Coturnix japonica: one gene and its partners. The protein of the gene in region 1 purifies or fractionates together with the protein of each later gene. This does not show direct contact. Links are inferred from orthologs where the notes say so. Each region holds a gene or a part of one and is shown in the gene's direction. Other genes may lie near its edges.

The links.
Region 2: the proteins of RPA3 (region 1) and RFWD3 purify together in Homo sapiens (affinity purification with mass spectrometry; 5 studies listed by BioGRID and IntAct, with this or other methods). This does not show direct contact. The link is inferred for Coturnix japonica from reciprocal best matches to the Homo sapiens genes RPA3 and RFWD3.
Region 3: the proteins of RPA3 (region 1) and TOP3A purify together in Homo sapiens (affinity purification with mass spectrometry; 3 studies listed by BioGRID and IntAct, with this or other methods). This does not show direct contact. The link is inferred for Coturnix japonica from reciprocal best matches to the Homo sapiens genes RPA3 and TOP3A.
Region 4: the proteins of RPA3 (region 1) and ZUP1 purify together in Homo sapiens (affinity purification with western blotting; 3 studies listed by BioGRID, with this or other methods). This does not show direct contact. The link is inferred for Coturnix japonica from reciprocal best matches to the Homo sapiens genes RPA3 and ZUP1.
Region 5: the proteins of RPA3 (region 1) and SMARCAL1 purify together in Homo sapiens (affinity purification with mass spectrometry; 3 studies listed by BioGRID and IntAct, with this or other methods). This does not show direct contact. The link is inferred for Coturnix japonica from reciprocal best matches to the Homo sapiens genes RPA3 and SMARCAL1.

The regions. Positions count from the first base shown.
Region 1 is NC_029517.1:22,630,127-22,633,814, reverse strand, and holds RPA3 (replication protein A 14 kDa subunit), read left to right. Parts: upstream 1-1,147; 5' UTR 1,148-1,187; coding exon 1,188-1,286; intron 1,287-1,430; coding exon 1,431-1,505; intron 1,506-2,017; coding exon 2,018-2,126; intron 2,127-2,616; coding exon 2,617-2,696; 3' UTR 2,697-3,179; downstream 3,180-3,688. UniProt on the Homo sapiens protein: As part of the heterotrimeric replication protein A complex (RPA/RP-A), binds and stabilizes single-stranded DNA intermediates that form during DNA replication or upon DNA stress.
Region 2 is NC_029526.1:771,270-775,236, forward strand, and holds the start of RFWD3 (E3 ubiquitin-protein ligase RFWD3), read left to right. Parts: upstream 1-1,157; 5' UTR 1,158-1,212; intron 1,213-1,555; 5' UTR 1,556-1,777; coding exon 1,778-1,814; intron 1,815-2,985; coding exon 2,986-3,370; intron 3,371-3,967. Other genes in the region: MLKL (mixed lineage kinase domain-like protein), read left to right, coding at 224-480. UniProt on the Homo sapiens protein: E3 ubiquitin-protein ligase required for the repair of DNA interstrand cross-links (ICL) in response to DNA damage. Plays a key role in RPA-mediated DNA damage signaling and repair.
Region 3 is NC_029529.1:5,110,324-5,113,835, reverse strand, and holds part of TOP3A (DNA topoisomerase 3-alpha), read left to right. Parts: intron 1-231; coding exon 232-340; intron 341-643; coding exon 644-787; intron 788-1,116; coding exon 1,117-1,287; intron 1,288-1,510; coding exon 1,511-1,611; intron 1,612-1,749; coding exon 1,750-1,824; intron 1,825-1,930; coding exon 1,931-2,013; intron 2,014-2,122; coding exon 2,123-2,330; intron 2,331-2,472; coding exon 2,473-2,658; intron 2,659-3,124; coding exon 3,125-3,254; intron 3,255-3,512. UniProt on the Homo sapiens protein: Releases the supercoiling and torsional tension of DNA introduced during the DNA replication and transcription by transiently cleaving and rejoining one strand of the DNA duplex.
Region 4 is NC_029518.1:57,985,305-57,989,475, forward strand, and holds the start of ZUP1 (zinc finger-containing ubiquitin peptidase 1), read left to right. Parts: upstream 1-1,371; 5' UTR 1,372-1,443; coding exon 1,444-1,720; intron 1,721-3,349; coding exon 3,350-3,466; intron 3,467-4,171. Other genes in the region: KPNA5 (importin subunit alpha-6), read right to left, coding at 1,216-1,219. UniProt on the Homo sapiens protein: Deubiquitinase with endodeubiquitinase activity that specifically interacts with and cleaves 'Lys-63'-linked long polyubiquitin chains. Shows only weak activity against 'Lys-11' and 'Lys-48'-linked chains.
Region 5 is NC_029522.1:23,407,827-23,411,886, forward strand, and holds the start of SMARCAL1 (SWI/SNF-related matrix-associated actin-dependent regulator of chromatin subfamily A-like protein 1), read left to right. Parts: upstream 1-1,254; 5' UTR 1,255-1,368; exon of another isoform or gene 1,369-1,372; intron 1,373-1,931; 5' UTR 1,932-2,017; coding exon 2,018-2,843; intron 2,844-3,485; coding exon 3,486-3,536; intron 3,537-4,060. UniProt on the Homo sapiens protein: ATP-dependent annealing helicase that binds selectively to fork DNA relative to ssDNA or dsDNA and catalyzes the rewinding of the stably unwound DNA. Rewinds single-stranded DNA bubbles that are stably bound by replication protein A (RPA).

The DNA.
Region 1 (3,688 bases):
GGGGTGAACCAGGCCTGGCCAGGCTGCTGGTAACAATCAAAACACTGAAGAAACCAGCAGATAAAACAGAAAGCCAGGCTTTCACCAGATGCAATACCTAATTGCCTGAAATCACAGAATCACAGAATTGTAGGGGTTGGAAGGGACCTCTAGAGATCATCGAGTCCAACCCCCCTGCCAAAGCAGGCTCCCTACACCACATCACACAGGTAGGCATCCAGGCAGGTCTTAAATATCTCCATAGAAGGAGACTCCACCACCTCCCTGGGCAGCCTGTTCCAGTGCTCCGTCACCCTCACTGGAAAGAAGTTCTTCCACACATTTGTGCGGAACTTCCTATGCTGTACTTTCATCCCATTACCCCTAGTCCTGTCCCCATGCACTACTGAAAAGAGACCAGCCTCACCACTATGGCTCCCACACCTCAGGTATTTATAAACCTGGATCAAGTCCCCTCTCAGCCTTCTTTTCTCAAGGCTAAATAGACCCAGTTCCCTAAGTCTCTCCTCACAGGGGAGATACTCCAGGCCCTTCACCATCTCAGTGGCCCTCCGCTGGACTCTTTCCAAGAGATCCCCGTCTTTTTTGTACTGGGGAGCCCACTTCTTTCTCTGCAAACCCTCACAGCAAACCTGCAGTGGCAACCAAGCATGACAGAGATGTGACGCTACTGACAACAGGGCACGGCATCACGGTGACGCTCCAACCAGACACAACAGCCCCAGGAGCGGCGCTTTGCAGCGGGCTGCTGCACCTTCATGCCACGTTTCCTTTGCAGCTCTGAAGAGACGCTGATGCGACAAGGATCAAATGAAGAGCTGAGAGATGAGCGGCAGAGCGACCCTGAGGGGATGACAGCGCTGGGGACAGCGGGATGGGAAAGGAAATGAGAAGGACGTGGAAGAGCCGCAGAGCTGCCCTGCCGGCTTCCCCGGGGCTCGGCCACCTCCCACCGGCCTCTCCACAACCTGCACAACCCCGGCCCTCCCTCATTCCCCCGTTACCCACCAGCCACCGCCGCCCGCCGCTTCCGGCTCCGTGAGACGACACCGCCGCCACCCCGGGCTTCGAGAGCCGCCCGCGGCGCGCTGCCATGACGCCATAGCAAAGCGCCGAGCTGATTGGCGATCCCCGTTGCCAGGGATAACGGGAGGCGGCGGGGCGCAGCGCGGGAAGGAGCGGCCGCCATGGGCGATGTGCACGAGGCGCCGCGGCCGCGCATCGGGGCCGCTCAGCTGGCGCAGCACATCGGGCGGCCCGTGTGCTTCGTGGGCCGCGTCGAGAAGGTCCGTACCCAGCCCCGCACCACCCCGCACCGGGCGGTCCCAACACTGCGGCCTTGCCCTGGGCTGGCTGCAGTCTCCCTGCGGGCCCGTCCGCCCGCTCGTCTTTCGGCCGCTGCTGAGCGCACGGCGTCGTTTCTCTTGTAGATTCACCCGACGGGGAAACTCATCGTTCTGTCGGATGGAGAAGGCTGCAACGCCACGGTGGAGCTGAGCGAACCCGTAAGTAACCCCGGTGTGTCGTTGGGAAGGTTTGGCTGCAGTGCAGGCAGGTTTCGTTCCCCCACACCAGATACATCTCTGTTTGGATACCTCGGCTTACTCTGTTCATTGCTTGTAGCGTGCTGTGTTTCACTGCATGTCTTGCCTTACTTTTCCTTTCACTTTCTTCCTTCACCTCTTTACTGACCCTTTTCCTGCCCCTAACAGAATGCTTCACAGAATCATAGAATGGCCTGGGTTGAAAAGATCACAGTAATCATCTATTTCCAACCCCCTGCTATGTGCCAACCACCAGACCAGGCTGCCCAGAGCCACATCCAGCCTGGCCTTGAATGCCTCCAGGGATGGGGCATCCATAACCTCCTTGGGCAACCTGTTCCAGCGCATCACCCTCTAAGCACTCTAAGCATCCTGTACTTTCTGAGAATAAGCAAAAAAATTAGTTTGAGTGTTCGCAGTGGAAACAGCAGCTAATTTGCTGGTGCTAATTTCATTTCTGGTGTGTCCTGCAGCTGGATGAAGAGATCTCAGGAATTCTGGAAGTGGTGGGAAGAGTAACAAATCAGGCAACCATCATGTGCATGTCATACGTCCAGTTCAGGGAAGATAAAAGTCCATTTGGTAAGTAAGGGTATATGTTATGGCAAATTAATTTTGTGTTCTGAACATTTATTTAGTAAATAAGGAGAGCATTATCCCTTCCTGTGGACATGATCATTCTTCAAGCTGCCTAATACAGCGTGGGGTATATAAAGAGACAACGGCATCAGGAAAAATTACATACTCAATACACTTTTTTACTGCCAAACTGTAGGGGCTGATTCAAGGCCTTAGCTGATCTAGATCATTGCCGTAAGTCTGATTGTTGTCCCAGTTACACAGTTCTTTGTCCTTCTTGTCTGGTGCTGGACTTTGTGTGATTGTCCAGTTAGCAGGCCTAAAAATAATCCCTCAGAAAGAAAGCAATGAGAATATGGCAGGCTTGGGAAACTGGGAACATAGGGGAAGGAGAACACTCAGCTGTATTGCTTTGAAATTGGCTGTGCTTTAATGCTGCAATTTACTAGTAAGAAATTTAAGTTAAGCTTCTTCTATTTTTGTCCCCTTTCAGATCTGGAAATCTACAGTGAAGCACTGAAAATTATTCATGAATTCCCTGAGTATTTCCCCTTCGGTACTGGGAGGAATTGATTCTTCTTAGAGCTTCAGTTGTGCAGTATTACCTTGGCTGTCTTGCCTGACAGCATGGTAAGAGTTACATTAGTTTCCAACAAATATACTAAGAAGATGCTACTACACGTGCCACGTGTGGCCAATGAAATATCTTTTCTTACTAACTTCTGTTTGAATTAGCTTAGCAAGAAGCAGAACATTTCTGTGGCTGTCTTACTGTCTGTATATATTTAACCCTTCTGCATTCATGAGGAATGCTCTCTTGCAGGATTTGATTTGCTAGAAATTGAAGTTTTATAGGCATCTTTTCCATTGTCCACAGAGGTCCTATGGATACTTAACACAAAATTCATACTGAAGATATTTGGTGGGGTTTTAATGTAAAGATATTTTAAAATTTCTTTTGCTTTGATATAAATTGAACGTGGAGGGGGAAAGATTTGTTTTGTATCTTGATAATGGTCACTTCTCCAATAAAGAAAAAGCTATGACTACGTTCAACTACTTGTGGTAGTATTGTATCTACCAAGTGCTATTTATAATGATTCATGATGATTCCTGTTCCATTTTACTTAAGTAATTTAATTTTAACGAAGTGGAGCACAAGGTACTTGCCTTTTGCACTGATGTTAAACAGTTGAGAGATGTAAGTGTCTGATTAGGCTTGGTAACTCAATCACACATAAAGCCCGCATCACAACCTTCGTTCGTGGTGGATGTTAAGGCAGAAGTACCAGGACAAGAAGGTCCCTATGGCATGATAGCATACTCTGTTCCATAGTACTATCGCTGCTGTGTTTTAGTGTCACTGCCAACAACTACGTGCTTGTTTTATTGGAATTTAACTCTTCAGAATTACTCTACCATACCAAAAAAATCTATTTTGTGCATGTATATACATTCTATAAAACATCATATGCAAGTAGTTCTTATTAAGTTTATCTGAGCCCAATAAAATGGATTCTACCACTAGATGGCTGTAGCACTTCACCCTGACACAGAGACCATCC
Region 2 (3,967 bases), on another chromosome or scaffold:
GGTTAAACCACAAGAATGCAAGAAAGGTTGTCTCTATTTGTTGTTCCCATGCAGTGAAGCATTAAGGCATCCTGTTTCGATGAGGCCTAGTGGTGTCACAGCAAAGACGGGGCAGTTTATTACAGACATAGCTTGCGTGGCCCCTCTGCTGGCTCCTCCATGGAGGAGGCTGCGGGATGGCTTTGGTGGGTTCCATATCTTCTAATGTCCGTGTTCCATTTAGGCTGCTCTCTCCAGGAGATCAGGGACAAAATCTGTGACCGGCAGTTCCAGGACCCAGTCGGGGAAGATTGTCCTGAAGAGATGGAGAAAATCATCAACCAGTGTCGGGCCTTCGATCCGTTCCAGCGCCCGTCTGCTGAGCGTGAGTGTCCTGAAGGCATTCCCCACATGTCAGACACCTCCGTGGTGAATCTGTGCCTTGTTTGCCATCGGATTTTGCCCAGTTTTGTCTCTTTGGATCCCCCCTTGTCCTGCTGACACCGCCAGGCCTCCTAAGAGCTGGTTTCCTTCTGTCTCCTCATAGAGACCATTCACACAACAGCGTTTATCCTCACCACACAGCCTGCTCTGCTCTGTTCAGGCTAACACTGACCTTACCTTCCACAGAGATCGTGGACCTGCTGGCTGACCTGGAGAAGAGGAGGTATCAGGGCATCTAGCTGCAGAGAGCCTCAGCAGGCCGCCCAGACTGGCCTCCCTGCCTTAAATATATGTTTAAATATATGTTTATTTGTTTAACTAAGACTGGAAGATCTCTGAGTAGCGGCTGCTTCGCGTCCTTCGAGGCCCGCGGGTGAGGCCTAAAGGCCTCTAGGCCCCGTTGCCACAGCAACCCCGATTTGAATCCCCTCCCGCTCCCGCTTACTTCGTCCCGGCGGCGCCTCCCCCAATCAAAACGCACTTCCTGTCTCTTGGTCCCCGCCCTTTCCGTCCCTCGAGGATCTCACCGTCCAATCAGACGGGCAGCTCTATCTCGACTGACCAATCAGAGCACGCCTCACTTCACTCTCAAGTCCGTTCAGTCTCCTCCTCCCCAGTCCGTTCTCTGGGGCAGACTGACTGAGCGCTCGGCCAATGAAAATCCCCATAGCTTTCGGCTCACCCAATAGAAGCGTCAGCAGTGGGAGCGTCGGGCCAATAGGGCTGAGGGGGCGGGGCGGCGCGCTGCTCGAGCGGCGCTGGCGGGCGGCAGCTGTGGGCCGCGGTGAGGTGGGTCCGGTCCGGTCCGGTCCGGTCCTCGTCTCTCTCTTCCCTTCTCGTGGTTCCGTTGACCGCGGCGGAGCTGCCGCCCGTACCGAGCCCTGCGGGAGCTGCCGGGACGGTGCGGGGGGAGGCCGGGGGGCGGCGGGTGCAGCGCGGAGCGGCTCCCCCGGGGCTCGGCCTGGGGCTGCCATGGAAGGCCCGGCTGGGCACAGCGCTGCGCTGTGTGGGTAGCGGCCCATGTTGGATCCCTGTGGGAGGAACCTCCTTAACCCCCCAGCACGGCTCCGCTTGCTCCGAGTCTGGCCACGTACCGATGGTTTCTTTGGGTTCTGTTGCTCCCCCCATACAGGTGCAGCAGCCGGATGGAGGTGCGGAGCTGTGCTGCTCTCGGAGTCCTGTCCGTCCGCCAGGGGAAGCTGCTGCTCCAGCGCTGCTGCTGCCCCGATCCCTCGGACCTCGAGACCTTCTGCCCGCCCCCCACACGCACGGACGGGCGGTGCCGTGCACGCGGCTCTCGGGGGAGCCGCTGACTTTTGCCCTTCCAGGAAGGCACCAAAGTGTCACGGTGAAAATGTCAACGTTAACATCTTCCCGAAGAAATACTTGGGGTTTGCTATCCGTGCTTTAGGGCTTCCAGTGTGAGGAAAATAAGGGTTTGCATGTGGCAGCCTTAACACAAACCTGAGTTCAGTGCAGCAGGACTGCCTTAACTCTATCTGTGACTGGTCAGATGGGAGATGGGGCTTGGTGTCCTTTCTGGCCTAGTTTAAGCTGAAATATTGGTTATGAGGAAATCCTCTTTTCCCAAGGAGCACTGAGGCAGTGGCACAGCTGCCAAGAGAAGGGGGGAATCGCCATCCCTGGAGCGGTGGGGTTGTGGCACTAAGGGACATGGGCATGGGGGGGGTGCAGTGGGACTTGGATGTCTGAGAAGTCTGTTCTAACTTTAGTGATTCTAATGGTAATTAAAGTAGTGTTATAAAGTGATTAGTAAGAGTTTGTTAAAAGATATATCAAAAGTTGTTAGTATAACCACCTCTTGTGGATCTTGTGTACGTTCTCTGGTTATTCTTTGTAGCAAAACACCCTTGTTTGTTCACACAGCGCCTACCTTGAGAAGTTTTGGTGCGCACTTTGGGCTCTCAAATAATGTTGAAGGTCTGCTGTCCCCAAAGCCAAAGCCTTTCAGATTTGTGATTGCCAAAACACGTGGGAGGCAAATGATCAGCAGCAGATTGCAGAACTTAATCTGCTCTCTCCTCCCCCAAATTGTTTGCTTTGATTTGTTTAGTTCATGAAATAATCTAAGCTTTTCTGTGTTGCAAGACTGCCTGCCTGCAAAGGATTGGATGCTCTACAGAGCTCATTTCTATTTGTATTTGTCACTGTTTCTGCAGTGGTTTTGCCATGGAGAATTTCTAAGATATCTTCAAACTTTCCTCCAAGATCCAAAGGCATTTACTGGAAAGTAATAGAACAAGAATTACTGAACTTTCCATGCTCATCCAAAGGTTTACCTAACAGGATTTGCAGTGTGTCTTTGGTGCCAGCTACTGCTGAGCTAAAGGCTTCAGACAAAGAACTCAGGAAGGTGCCAGCTCACATACATGTATCTACTTGAGACAGTCTCTCTGTGCTGTATGTCAAAGGCAAAATGGCAACTTGTCTCTAGTCTGAATGTTGAAGGCTTTTGAGTGCTGCAGCCAGTTTCTGCTGCCATCAGGCCACTAGTGGGGCGCAGGCTTGTGAATGCTCATAGCTTTCTTTTGTTTTTGACAGAAATGGCTCAGGAAGAGATGGAAGTTGATCTCCAACCAGTGGTGAACTACTCCCTAGAGAACCAGGGGACGCTTTCTGCAGAGCCCGCTGCTCACACGGCACTGTCCTCTCAGGTTGCAGCGCTCAGCAGCGGAGGAGGCAGCCCTATCGTTCTTTCTGACGATGAAGTTGTTGTCGTATCGACTGCTGATGCCGCAAGGGAAGCAGCTGCTGATCCTGACCAGCAGGCGAATCCTCCCTCAGCTCTCATCGGACTGCTGAGGCTGCAGGGGGCGTCTGACCAGCACCAGCTGCTGCCTGGGCCTCAGGTTGTGCTGCGTCTGCGAGTACGAAGGGCTCGCAGGCAGCCAAGAGTCGGTGGTTCCCAGAGGACAGTCAGTGCCAGGTAAAGCAGAAGTGAAGCTGTGTTTGAGCTGTGCCCTTACCAGTTCTCATACTGGTTTAAGACTGCCTCGATGCCTGGCTTGTAGAACCTGGCTTGGTCCAGGTGTGTGACTGTGGTCAAATTCCGAGCACCTCAAAAACCTCTTAAGCTCACTAATGACTCTTTGATTTCATCTGATGATGTCTTTGCTTTTTGTTAAATGAACCCGCCCTTCTCAGTTCTTCTGTTGGCAGCGTTGTTGTTGACTGGAGCACGTTACCTTGCTCTGCCAGATTCCTGTTGGTGCTTCCTGCAGCAGATCTGGCTCTCAGCAGTCCCAGCCAGCATTTAGCTCAGTGGAGCTTGCACTCTCTTCTGCGTTTCACCTTTGATTTGAGGACTGCCTAATTAGGTGACAGTTGCTGCAGAAACTTTTGTAAAGAAATGCAAACTGACATTTATCATCTTTTTTCCTCTGTAGATTTTTGTAATCTCCAAGCAAAGTGAAAATTCTGTGTTTAGGGCTGTTAGGGATGAGTTTAAAAGGTGATAAGTGGGCACGCTCCCCAACTAGAAAAAGAATCCTATTTCTGGTTTGTTTGGTTTCTGTCTCATCTT
Region 3 (3,512 bases), on another chromosome or scaffold:
ACTGTGGTACAATCCAACCCAAGCAGTGCTTTTTAACAGAGAGTAAATAAATGATTCATTTCTTTTGAAAGCTGTCTAATCTCCCGAGAGTTACCATTGCAAAATGTTATTGCAACAATTCATTGCTATGGATACATGTTGCATTTCGTGTTCAGTTAGTGAGTCATTCTAAAACTAAATGTCAGACCAAGTGGCTTGAGTAGGTCTCATTCAGAGTTTTTTCTGTCTCAGAGAACCCTTGAACGAGAGGTCCAGCAATGCCAAGCTCTGGTCATCTGGACTGACTGCGATCGAGAAGGAGAGAACATCGGTTTTGAGATCATTCATGTCTGCAAAGCTGGTGTGTAGAGCATCTGTTGCATCAATCTGTTTTCCATTAAAATGATGATTTAACAGGTATCACTGCTCAGATCTAGTAACAGATATCATCCTTACTCAGTTGTCATTCTTACATGTCCAGGTCAAATCTTCTGGCTGTAGTTACGATAAATACATGGCTCTGATACACCAGAAATACATTAATACATTGGAAAGATACAAAATATGTTGACAGCACACACTTTTAAAGACAGCAGCAGTATATTAGTTCATGCTTTCCATTGCTGTATGAGTCATTCTGGTTATTATTTTTTTTGTCTGATAGTAAAGCCAAACCTCCAGGTATTCCGAGCACGTTTTTCAGAGATTACACTTCATGCTGTCAGAAGGGCCTGTGAGAATCTCACCCAACCAGATCAAAAAACTAGTGATGCTGTTGAAGTCAGGCAGGAGCTGGACCTCAGGATAGGTAAGTAAACATGCTTTGGAGATGAGAGCTGGTTGCTAGGCCTGAGCTGCTGCATATACCCTTGAAAGCAAGTGAGCAAGAGTGTGGTAAAAAGGCAGGGGACAGACAGCTTACAGTCTGTCATCAACATGTAGCTTATTTTCTATAAACACTTGAACTCTTAGATTGCTTTAGAAACTAGACAGCTAGCTATCAGACTTCCTCACTTCTCAGTGTATGGGAAATTGGTAATCACAGCCTGAACCTATGATTAATCAGCTGATGCTGATTAATTAATTAATTAATTAATGCTGAACTATTCAGTTCTAGCATCCATTTTGTTTTCTCAGGTGCTGCTTTCACCAGATTCCAGACCCTGAGGCTCCGGAAGATTTTCCCTGAGGTTTTAGCAGATCAGCTGATCAGTTACGGCAGTTGCCAGTTCCCAACTCTGGGGTTCGTAGTTGAGCGCTTTAAAGCCATCCAGGCCTTTGTCCCTGAAGCCTTCTATAAAATCAAAGGTATGCTGGAGGAAAACAAGCGCAGTAATCCATTTTAAAGGGTTTAATGTATTTGGAGAGGAAAAACTTCAGGGCAACTAACAAACAATGCTGCAGAAGTGATTTCCCTTGCCATTATCATTAAGCAGAAAGTGGAAAGGTTTCCTAGTAGCATGGTCCCATTGCCTCTGCTGGTTTTCAACTATATTACTACTGTATAACTCTGATCTGGTTTTCAACACAGTGACACATGATCACGAAGATGGCAATGTGGTCTTCAACTGGAAGAGGAACCGGCTCTTTAATCACACAGCGTGCCTGGTTCTTTACCACATGTGTATGGAGGTAGGAAAACTTGTAAAAAAAGACGTATGATCTAATATCAGCCAAACATGTCCTGCATCCTTCTTGTTCAAGATGTTTAAAGAACTGTCTGTGTGAAATCTTCGAGGAAATCTTGTATTTTGATTACTCTCTATTTAGGATCCTGTTGCCACTGTTGTTGAGGTTGGAAGCAAGCCAAAGAGCAAATGGAGACCCCTGCCCCTGGACACTGTGGTATGTTAGAACTATATATTATAAGATTAATTAAAATAAGCTTTAAACAGTTATTTTACTCAGAATAGTTCACAAATACATTTTTTTCTGTCTCTTCCCAACACAGGAACTTGAAAAGTTGGCTTCCCGTAAACTGAAAATAAATGCAAAGGAAACCATGAGAATAGCAGAAAAACTCTATACTCAAGGGTAAGGAAACAAGCTTTGTCTTGGTAAACTTAATTATTTCAAAAATATGTGACTGTTAGTCCAAATCATCCTCAAGCACCTCTTGAAGTTCCCTTCTGTCTTTCTTAAGGTTTATTAGCTATCCCCGAACAGAGACCAACATTTTCCCCAAGGAGCTGAACCTCTCTGCCTTAATACAACAACAAACACAGGACCCCAACTGGGGAGCATTTGCACAGAGGATCTTGGATCAGGGTGGGCCGAACCCTCGGAATGGAACCAAATCAGACCAGGCTCACCCTCCCATTCACCCCACAAAATACACCGCTAACCTGCAGGTAAGTTTAGTATTGCTTGATAAAATAAAGACAGAAATACTATAATATAGTTGTTAGCACAGTATCCGCACCTGAGATTCACTAATATTTCTTAATATCTTGCTAATACTAGAAGAGAGTAACTCTTACTGTTTGATAACAGGGCAACGAACAGAGACTATATGAATTCATTGTGCGCCATTTTTTGGCTTGCTGCTCTCAAGATGCCAAGGGACAGGAAACAACTGTGGAGATTGACATTGCTAACGAGCGATTCATTGCTCAAGGACTTATGATCCTGGCCCGAAATTATCTGGAGGTTTATCCTTATGAGAAGTGGAGTGACAAGGTAACATCCTTGAACAGTGTAGATGGGACTGCCTAAAATACCTGGACTTTAAAACTGCAGATGGGTTGTACTAATGGGAAAGCTTCCCTGCCACTTTCAGGCCCATCTAGAGAATGTCCTTTGACAATTCTTAACACACTGGCTATTTCACTTAGAACTCTCTCTGCTGAACACTAGTGCCACTTAATTATGCCAGCTTTGGATAGATTCTTCCCTTTCTGACACCGCAGCAGAGACCATACAGGGCTGCTTCCACGTGGGGAGGGATACTCACCAAGATGAGCTGCAGTTGCTGTTGTGTGGTGTCTCTGGCAGGTTTTTACTGGCTAATCCTGAGCATCCCAAGACTCAGTCTCCTCCAGAACAGAGTGCTGCTATATTACTGCACCAACTTGCTGGTAGTGTGACAGCTGTTTTCAGTGGATGGTCCAGAAGACAGTTTCAAAGAGATTCTCCTTCCCTTCAGGTTATCCCACTGTATCAGAAAGGGTCTCGCTTTCAGCCCACTACAGTGGAGATGGTGGATGGGGAAACCAGCCCTCCATTGCTCCTCACGGAAGCGGATCTCATTGCACTCATGGAGAAACATGGCATTGGTCAGTATTGGCAGTGTGGCCTTTCACTCTTGAGAGAGCTTTGCTCATAAGCATCTCCTCAACTTCCCTAGTACTAGTTCTTTCCAGCCCACAGAGTAGGGGATTCTCAGAACATCACTTCAGATGAGAAGTCACTTAAATATACAGAGCAGAGAGATAGTAGAAACCTGTGGGCAGCATCCAGTGAAACTAACAAGACTGTACTGTCTCTCCATTACCCAAGGGGATGTGAAGTTTAGGGTCCAGGGCACATCTACA
Region 4 (4,171 bases), on another chromosome or scaffold:
TATGTTAAATGATCAAAACTGACTGAACAAGGTTGTGAACAGCCCAGTGCTAATATTCAAAGCTAAAACTGTCACCTTCATTCAGAGAAGCAACTTTCAAAACTGTGATTCGAGACTTCAAGCAAACTCAGTTGTTTAGAATTCTTTCACAACAAGAAAACATGCATAAGGCAATCTGACCCACAGGCACAGTTCTTTGCCAACTTCCGTGCTGAGATATTTATTTTCACATTTTGTTTAATATCAGCAGTATCAAGGCCTGCTGAGTAACAAACACAGGCTGTAAGAAGCAACCAGACCCTGCTGTTAGGCTGGCACCAGCAGGACACTCTAAGGGCTCAACAACCTGTTTCACCCAAACACAACTGCTTCATGAGAACCTTTACGGACTGTTGCCATTTCTGGGCACAGAGCTGCATGAGATGCGGTATGAAGTTGTCTTCTAATTCACAGAACTTCAAAAGTGCAATTTAAAAAGAAGAGCATTCTGTCTAGCAACACTTGTGGCTTAACTAGTCCTCAAACATCATCACCTTCTTAATCACACACGCCTTGAGGAATGATTTGGGCCAGTACACCTGCCAGGCCAAGCAAGAAACCAAAGATGAGAAGACTGCATTAAAAGTAACATCAAAGTTACACAAGTTCTATGCAAGAGATCAAGCAAAAGGAAGCTCTCCTCAAAAAGAAAAGCTATCGAAACCATAGCTTCGGCCCCTGTCCCACAACAGCTTTGGAACATGAACCAGAAGGGTAGAGCGAAGAGGTGCTTTATCTACTCAACCACCACGACTGTATCCAGACCACATTTCTGCTACGCCCAGCTATGCCTGTGTTACACTGATCCCTGCGGCAGCCACATCCTGCATGCCGCCCACCTGTTGTGCCCCGCAGCATCGCCACCCCTCAGTGCCCGGAGGGCCGGGAAGCCGCGTCAGATCCAGCCAGATGCCCGGCCGGAGGACACCCGGCCCCGGGCTCAACTACCGACGCTTCTCGCCTGCGCCCCTCGAAAAGACGACGGGGAAGCGCTCTTGCCGGCGGCGGGATGAAGGCAGCCCCTGACTGAGGGGCTCCGTCCCGTTGCTGCGGGACAGTCCCAGCACCGCGCGCGGCAACGCCCCGCCATAGCCCAGCGCCCCCGGGCAGGCAGAAGCTCGGTCACGCAGCACGGGGCACTGAACGCGGGGTCCCCTCCGACCCACCGGCTCTTACCCATCGCAGCCGGGACGCGCCGCGCCCGCCGCCCCCAAGGCGAGAGGAGCCCGCGGCGCTCGGCCCCCAGCCGGACCGCAAGATGGCCGCCGCCACTCCGCCCCGCGCCGCACTGCCCACGGGCGGGCCTCGCCGCTCCCAGCAGGCCCCGCGCGGCGGCGACAGGCGGGCGTTGCCTCCGCCGCCCCGGCAAGGGGATGCGGCTTCCGAGCGGAGCGTCGGGCCGCCATGTCGGTGTGCAATATCTGCGGGCGGCTGCTGCCCTCAGAAGCGGCGGCGCGGCGTCACGCGAATCGCGCCCACCCGGACAAACAGCCTCGCTGCCCGCTCTGCAGCGCCTCCGCCACAGGCTACGAGGAGCTGCGCCGGCACGTGGAGGCCGCACACACGGAGCCACAGCCCCGCGCCCGCAGCCCCGAGATCGGGTGCCCATTCTGCGGGGAGGCGGCGGGGGGACAGCTGGAGGAGCACGTCAGGGCCAGGCACGGGCGGCTGCTCGGCGCAGGTGGGTGGTGGTTCCCCTACGGCGTGGTATTGCCGGTGTAACGCGTTGGCTGTGCTGGCAGGGAAAAGGAATGATGTTAAGAATGCAGAATGTGACGCTGTAATCGACGAAGATTTAAGTTGGATGTTAGGGGGAAGTTCTTCACTAGGAGAGTGGTTAGGCCCTGGAACAGGCTGCCCAGGGAAGTTGTGGATGCCCCGTCCTTGGAGGTGTTCAAGGCCAGGTTGGACGGGGCCCTGGGCAACCTGATCTAGTAAAGGTGTATGTTTGGTGGCCCTGCCAGGCAGGGGGGTTGGAACTACATGATCCTTGAGGTCCCTTCCAACCCGGGTCATTCTGTGATTCTGTGACGGCGAGGTATGTTCTGATGTTATTCTTCATATTCTGCTGGAGAGACACGGACCTGATGGAGTGCATCAGGAGGGCCACAAAAATGATCCAAGGAATGGAACGCATCTCTTATAAGGACAGGCTGAGAGAGCTGGGGCTGTTCAGCCTGGAGAACAAAAGATTCTGGGGAGAGACCAGAGAGCGGCCTTTCAGTATCGAAAGGAGAACTGTAAGAAGGAAGGAGCTGTCTCCTCACCACGGGGTCTGTGGGGATAGGACGGGGAAATGGTTTCAAACTAAAAGAGGAGGGATTTATTGTAGGTGTTAGGAAGTTTTTTCAATAAGGGCAGTGAAGCACTGGCACGAGTTGCCCAGAGAGGTGGTGGAAGCTCTATCCCTGGAGACACACAAGGTCAGGCTGGATATGGCTGAGTACCCTGATCGAGTTGTAGTTGTCTATGTTCCTCACAGGGCAGTTTGACTAGATAGCTTTTAAAGGCACCTTCCAACTCAAAACGAGTTGGATTCTGAAGCTACATGACTCAAAGAGAGGGCACTGAAGGTTAAGTTGGGTTTGTCTTTGTAGTGTGCAGTGACAGCACTGCAGGCAGCAAGTGAAATGAGGAACTACCACTGAAACTTAAGAAAGCTGTTGCTGTGAGTCTTGTCAAACACTGCAATGAGAACTTTGTGGTGTTTCCATCCTCAGGAAAGTGACTGGAAAAGGCCCTGTGCCTGTTTGACGTGACCGTGGCTTGACGGTCCTGGTGATCTCCAGGTGATCTTCTGAATCTTAGCTACTCTTAGTAGTAACACTAAAAGTGCAGTAGAAATAGCTGAGGAAACAAAGGAAGGTTAATAAAAAATGACAGCATTGTAGTTTCTTTTCTGCTTGCTGACTGCTGTATTGTCATACAAGACTTAAGATTTCGTAAGCAACTGTTCTTCCATCAGCAGGACATATCTTTTCATTAAAGGTTTGATATTTGATTGGCATTTTGTAGGCCTTCCTTAATAAAAAATATTATAGCAAGCTGTGGTAAGTTAAGTTGGGAAAATTTTGCTGAATAGGAAGAGGGGAAATATATCTTCAAACTTTTCAGGTATTTAAATATGAATTCATAAATGGCTAAGAGAGCAATAGCTATTAACATGTGTTGCCTTCCACTGGGGAATTTCAGTACTAGCACAATTCTCTTTGTTTTTCTTGAGCTACTGGGGGATGATTCTTACAAAAACACACAGCAGAAAAGAATAAACAGGAATTGCATTAAGCAAGAAGCTGTATTTCTTTTACAGATACAGAGAGCATTGAACAGCTTTATGAATGTCCAATATGTGGTCTTACCTGTACAAACATTCAAATTCTCGAGGAACATGTGGATTTACACTTAGAGGAGCACAGCTTTCCGGAAGGTACTTGGAAGGATGCAAGCTTGATAATCTTTGGAAACACTTACATGTTGCAGTATATAACCTTGTACAACATTTAAACTAAATATTTCTTTATTTAAAAAGAGAACTAAATAGATTTGTAACAAAATTAAATGCAAGTTCTATCACTTGCCCTTGTGCTTTGCTTAATTACATGTGCTATGAGAAGTGTCTTTCTATGCACGCTTGTTCAGTAAATGCATTAGATGTTAGGTAAAACTAAAACTTGGATATTCCTGTTACATCCTCTAGCTCTATAAAATAATTGTCTTTGCAGAATCTAGTAGCACGTTCCCATGTGAAGAGTTCAAAACAGTCTTTTGAAAACTACTGATTTTTTTCTTGGTTCTTTTCTGTAAATGTTCAGGGTCATAATGATAAGGTAAAGGAATCAAAATAAGTTTGCTTTTTGTTTTTTTTTTTTTTGTATGGCTAATAAAATGCTGGATATTCACTATCCAGCTCTTTGATCCCAAGTTTCTTTTTGTCGCTCTGAGATTACTAGCAGGTATCTGAGAAACTGATAGGTCTGTGTTATTCAAAAATCTAGGATTTCTTACTAATAATTACGTAAAGCGTAGTAACCAAAAAGATGTTCGCTTAGTAGTAGAGCTATGCTTGCATTATTTGCCAAGCAGTTGCATTTGTGATTGCATATGCATTCTCTAAGTTGTGAATTTGGTCTTA
Region 5 (4,060 bases), on another chromosome or scaffold:
GGTGGAGCATCCAAGGGCCATCAGTGTGGGCTGAGGCTTGCATTTCCAATCATCTCCTGGATGGTCTTGATGCACATAGTGACTCTGCACGTGGTTCACCAAGATCCATAGACACTGCAGGATGCAGATGTACGGCTCTACTCACGCAGGGAACTGTGACAGTGTGTTGGAAAAGAGGTGAAGTGGACGCATTCAACATGAGATATCAACTGGGGTGTGCTGACCCACCGACCCTCCCAGGATTTTCTTACTGCATCTCTGTACTCTGATTTGGTGTGTAGAGGGTAAGTCCAAGCCACTGCTGGAAGTATGTTCAGACTGAAAGGACACCTGGAGTGCTACCAGCAAACTGCTCACAAATGGCCTCTTGCTTTGTAGCTCTGTTCCCTGCATGGTTGGTCTGTTCTTTGTGCCTTGCTGAAGTTGTGCCATATGGAGCAAGTGCTTCAACGTCTGTCTGGGTGTCTGCCTGACCGTGAGACCCAAGAGCTCTTCTCCTCTCTGCAAAACAACTCTCTAATTGTTCACATGAGTTGGGGACAGTCCTATGGGTGCTCATAGGGCTGCATGTCAGGTCACACCTTGCTTTCACTGCCTGCCTTGTTTTTCTCAAGCTGACGAGCTCCTGACTAATGACAGTCACCGCTGCTTAATCAAGAAGCAATTTAAGGATAACCTTTTTTAATTAACCAGCAGAGAGGATGAATAAATAAACTGCAAAACAACCAGCTGGCTGCACCACCCCCAGCTGAGGGGCCTGTGATAGAAAATGGCATTTGGGGATGGGGCAGATGGCTCCAGAGCTGCCACTGGACAGGATGGTCACAGTATGAGATAGGGATAAGGAAATGGGGCTCCCCAGGGCTGTTTCTTTGCCTTTATCCCCTAGTACTGCCCTGCCAACATAAAGTAAAGGTGAATCCCAGCTGTCCAGGAAGATCAACTTGATGTGTATAATTACAACTAATGGAAGCGCTTTTTTTTTTTCCAGAACTTTAATAAAAACGTGAATAATTACAGTATTATGAAGGCAGCAGCATAGCTTTTCATAATGCATTACTACTGTTTGTAACTGAGCACCAGAGGACAAAACCTCAGCCCACAGCTTACAATGGAAGCCCCATAGCTTACAACGGAAACGCCATAGCTTACAATGGAAGCCTCACAGCTGAATCTACTTCCGCCCCCACCCGCCCCGATTCCCTTAGAGTCCCTAAAATGGCGCCGCGCGGGGAAGACTCAATTTCCCAGTGCGCCGCGCGCCTCTCAGACAGCTTGGCGTCATCGGGCGGCAGAGCGGGGGCTGATGGGTATTGTAGTCTGCGGTGTTGCGCGCCTTGTGGCGGCCGGGCTGGCCTCTGCCCGCTGGTGGGTACGCGGGGGTTTGGGGAGGGTCGGTGAGGGCTGAGCCCATAGCGGGTTGCAGCGGGGCAGTGGTAGGGCGTGGGGGCCTGGTCGGCGGCGTGGTGCCTCTGTGGGCAGCGGGGGTAGGAAGTGTGTTGGGTGTGGGGTGGCTCGTGGGCCTTGAAGTTCCCTATCCCGTAGGGTTGGGGCAGGGATGGAACGTAACCTCTGGGAGGGGGGTGGGGACGAGAGGAGCGAGCCTGGCTTTGTACGGTTAGTTTAGTGCATCTCTGAGTGTTGGAGGAGGTGGGCAGCCTCTCACACGTGAGGCCAAGGAGCAGGTGGAGAAGGGAGGTGTGGTGGGGGCCAGCTGCTTGTTTTCTGTAAGCTCTAAACAAGCACAGCAGTGAGAGGGGCTTTCTCTAGGGAGGAGCTGACACTCACCTCTGTGTGTGTCTCTTATGTGCTGTGAGATGCCTGAGGACTGAAAAGTTGTTAGGAATCGATGACTGATAGTAATGTGTTGTCAGTACGTTGAGCTTGTTGCTGGGGGCAAATTTGAAACTTCCTGCTGCTTTATTTTTTAGGCTGCCCTCCGTTCCTACCAAGAAACGGGTGCTTCTGAGATGAAATAACTGATGTACTGACTCAGGTTTGTTTTGAACTGGTGAAGATGTCATCTGGCCTTACGGAGGAGCAAAAGAGAAGAATTGAAGAGAACCGCCAGAAGGCTTTGGCTAGGAGAGCTGAGAGGCTAGCAGCCCAGCGGGGTGGGCAGCTGGGGATCAATGGGCCTCGGGTAAAAGAACAGAATCCAGACAATCGAGGAAGCTTGAAGCAAGAAAACAATCATGTCAGGTTCATTAGCCTGCCCCAACAGAATCCAGACAGTCCTGTGGAGCAGAAGAGCTATCTTCGGAAAGATTATAATCATTACACTGCGAACCAACAGATGGCTGGTTCACAGGGAGAGCAACAAAAGAATTGTTCAGAGGACTCAAAGCAAACAAGTGGCAATAAGCAGTTCCCTACACCGATCCCAAATTCTCTGAGTTATTCCCATCAACGTTACTCAGATGGACAACATGGACAACAAGCTTTAATTAATCCTGGTACATTCCAACAGCCCAAGTGCTACCCAGCTTCCAAAAACCCTACAGGAACATCTCTCCCTAATTTAACTGGTAACTGTAACGCTGATGGTATTAAAGTTGTTTCATCACCAAGCAGCGCCACTCTGAGTGCTTCAGAAATGGTGATAAATACAAACAGATCAACAGACAGACAAGGTGGAAGTGGTGCCTTTCGGGCCAGTGGTAAGATGCAGAAGCTGACCAGCCCTGCTGTTGCAGACTCTATCAAAGCTGCCTCTTGCAAGAAAGCAAATAACGTTACAAAAGGAAAATGTGTGAAATACGGGGAAGACCGTTTCCAGGTTGAAATAGGGTATAATGCTGACCTGGTTGCTTTGTTTAAGACAATACCAACCAGAAGCTATGGTAAGAATTGATTGATAGCTGTTTTCTCTGTGCTCTGTTTGATTGTAGTTTCAGTATATGCTGGAATTGTAGAAGCATTATGCTTTTAGCGGGGGAGTTAATGTTGGGATCAAATATATAGGATGGTATTAATGGAGTGCTGGAAAAGTCAAGGCAGCTGAAATTGAAAAGAAATTCTGAGCATAAAATTTTGATTTTGGATTTAGCCAAGAAATCAGGAGTTATATGAACAGTGCTTGAAGAAGTTTAGTGTTGGGAGCTGGTCAGTGTTTTGGGAATGAAGGAAGTTATTACTGAATAAGTATGGGAAAATAGGCCACTTCCGAGTTGACGGGCTGAGTATTAACTGTGTTATTGCAAGTAGTGGAGTTTGCAAGTTGCTGATCTTCTTTCCATGCCTTTATTTCTTGTATTCTCTTTTTGTTTCCCCACATATATTGATGCTCCCTGTGAATGACTGTTCCATCCTCATTGCCTTAGCATTAATGTGCCCTATGGCTTTATTTGGTGCCATGTAGCTGTAAGCCTGAGCATTCTGTCTTTCAGATCTCTATCGAGAAATCTGCATGTATAAAATGGCATAAATGTTTAACAGCACCACTTTTTTCTACCCCATATAACTCATATTCTGCCCTATTTTAGATCCTACTACGAAAAAATGGAGTTTCAGCCTGGAACATTACAGCAGTTTCAGTAAGTAAATGGATTGCTGAGTGATAAGAAAGGCACTTAAGACTTAAGATCACCACTGTAACCTTTCTCTGTGATTTTACTTCGTTATTGTCTGGAGTAATAAAAAAAGATGGTGCTACTCAAACATAATGCCCACCTTTTAGGCTTCTGGCTCATATTATTTTTTGACATTTTGTAGTATATTAGAAATACGATTTTTTTGATGCAATCTAAATGCCTGGCTTAGATTTAACTTTTTCTGCAGTTGCTGAATTGCTTAGGAATCAACAAGCCTGATTATAGCGGATTCTGTATTGACGACTGGTTATTGGCTAATACTTGATTTATAGATCTGTTGAAGTACGTTCTTTTTAAACTTTTCTTTACTGTTTTTCCTATTAATTTTGGGTGTCGGGAAAGGAAAAAGTCTAATTTTCTAAAGCTCTGAGTGAGGCTGAAAGTGAACTACCAAGGATGGTTTTTATCTTTTTCTGTACTGTCATTTTGTTCTGCAAAGATTGAGGGATGACAGGTGAACGAGCCAG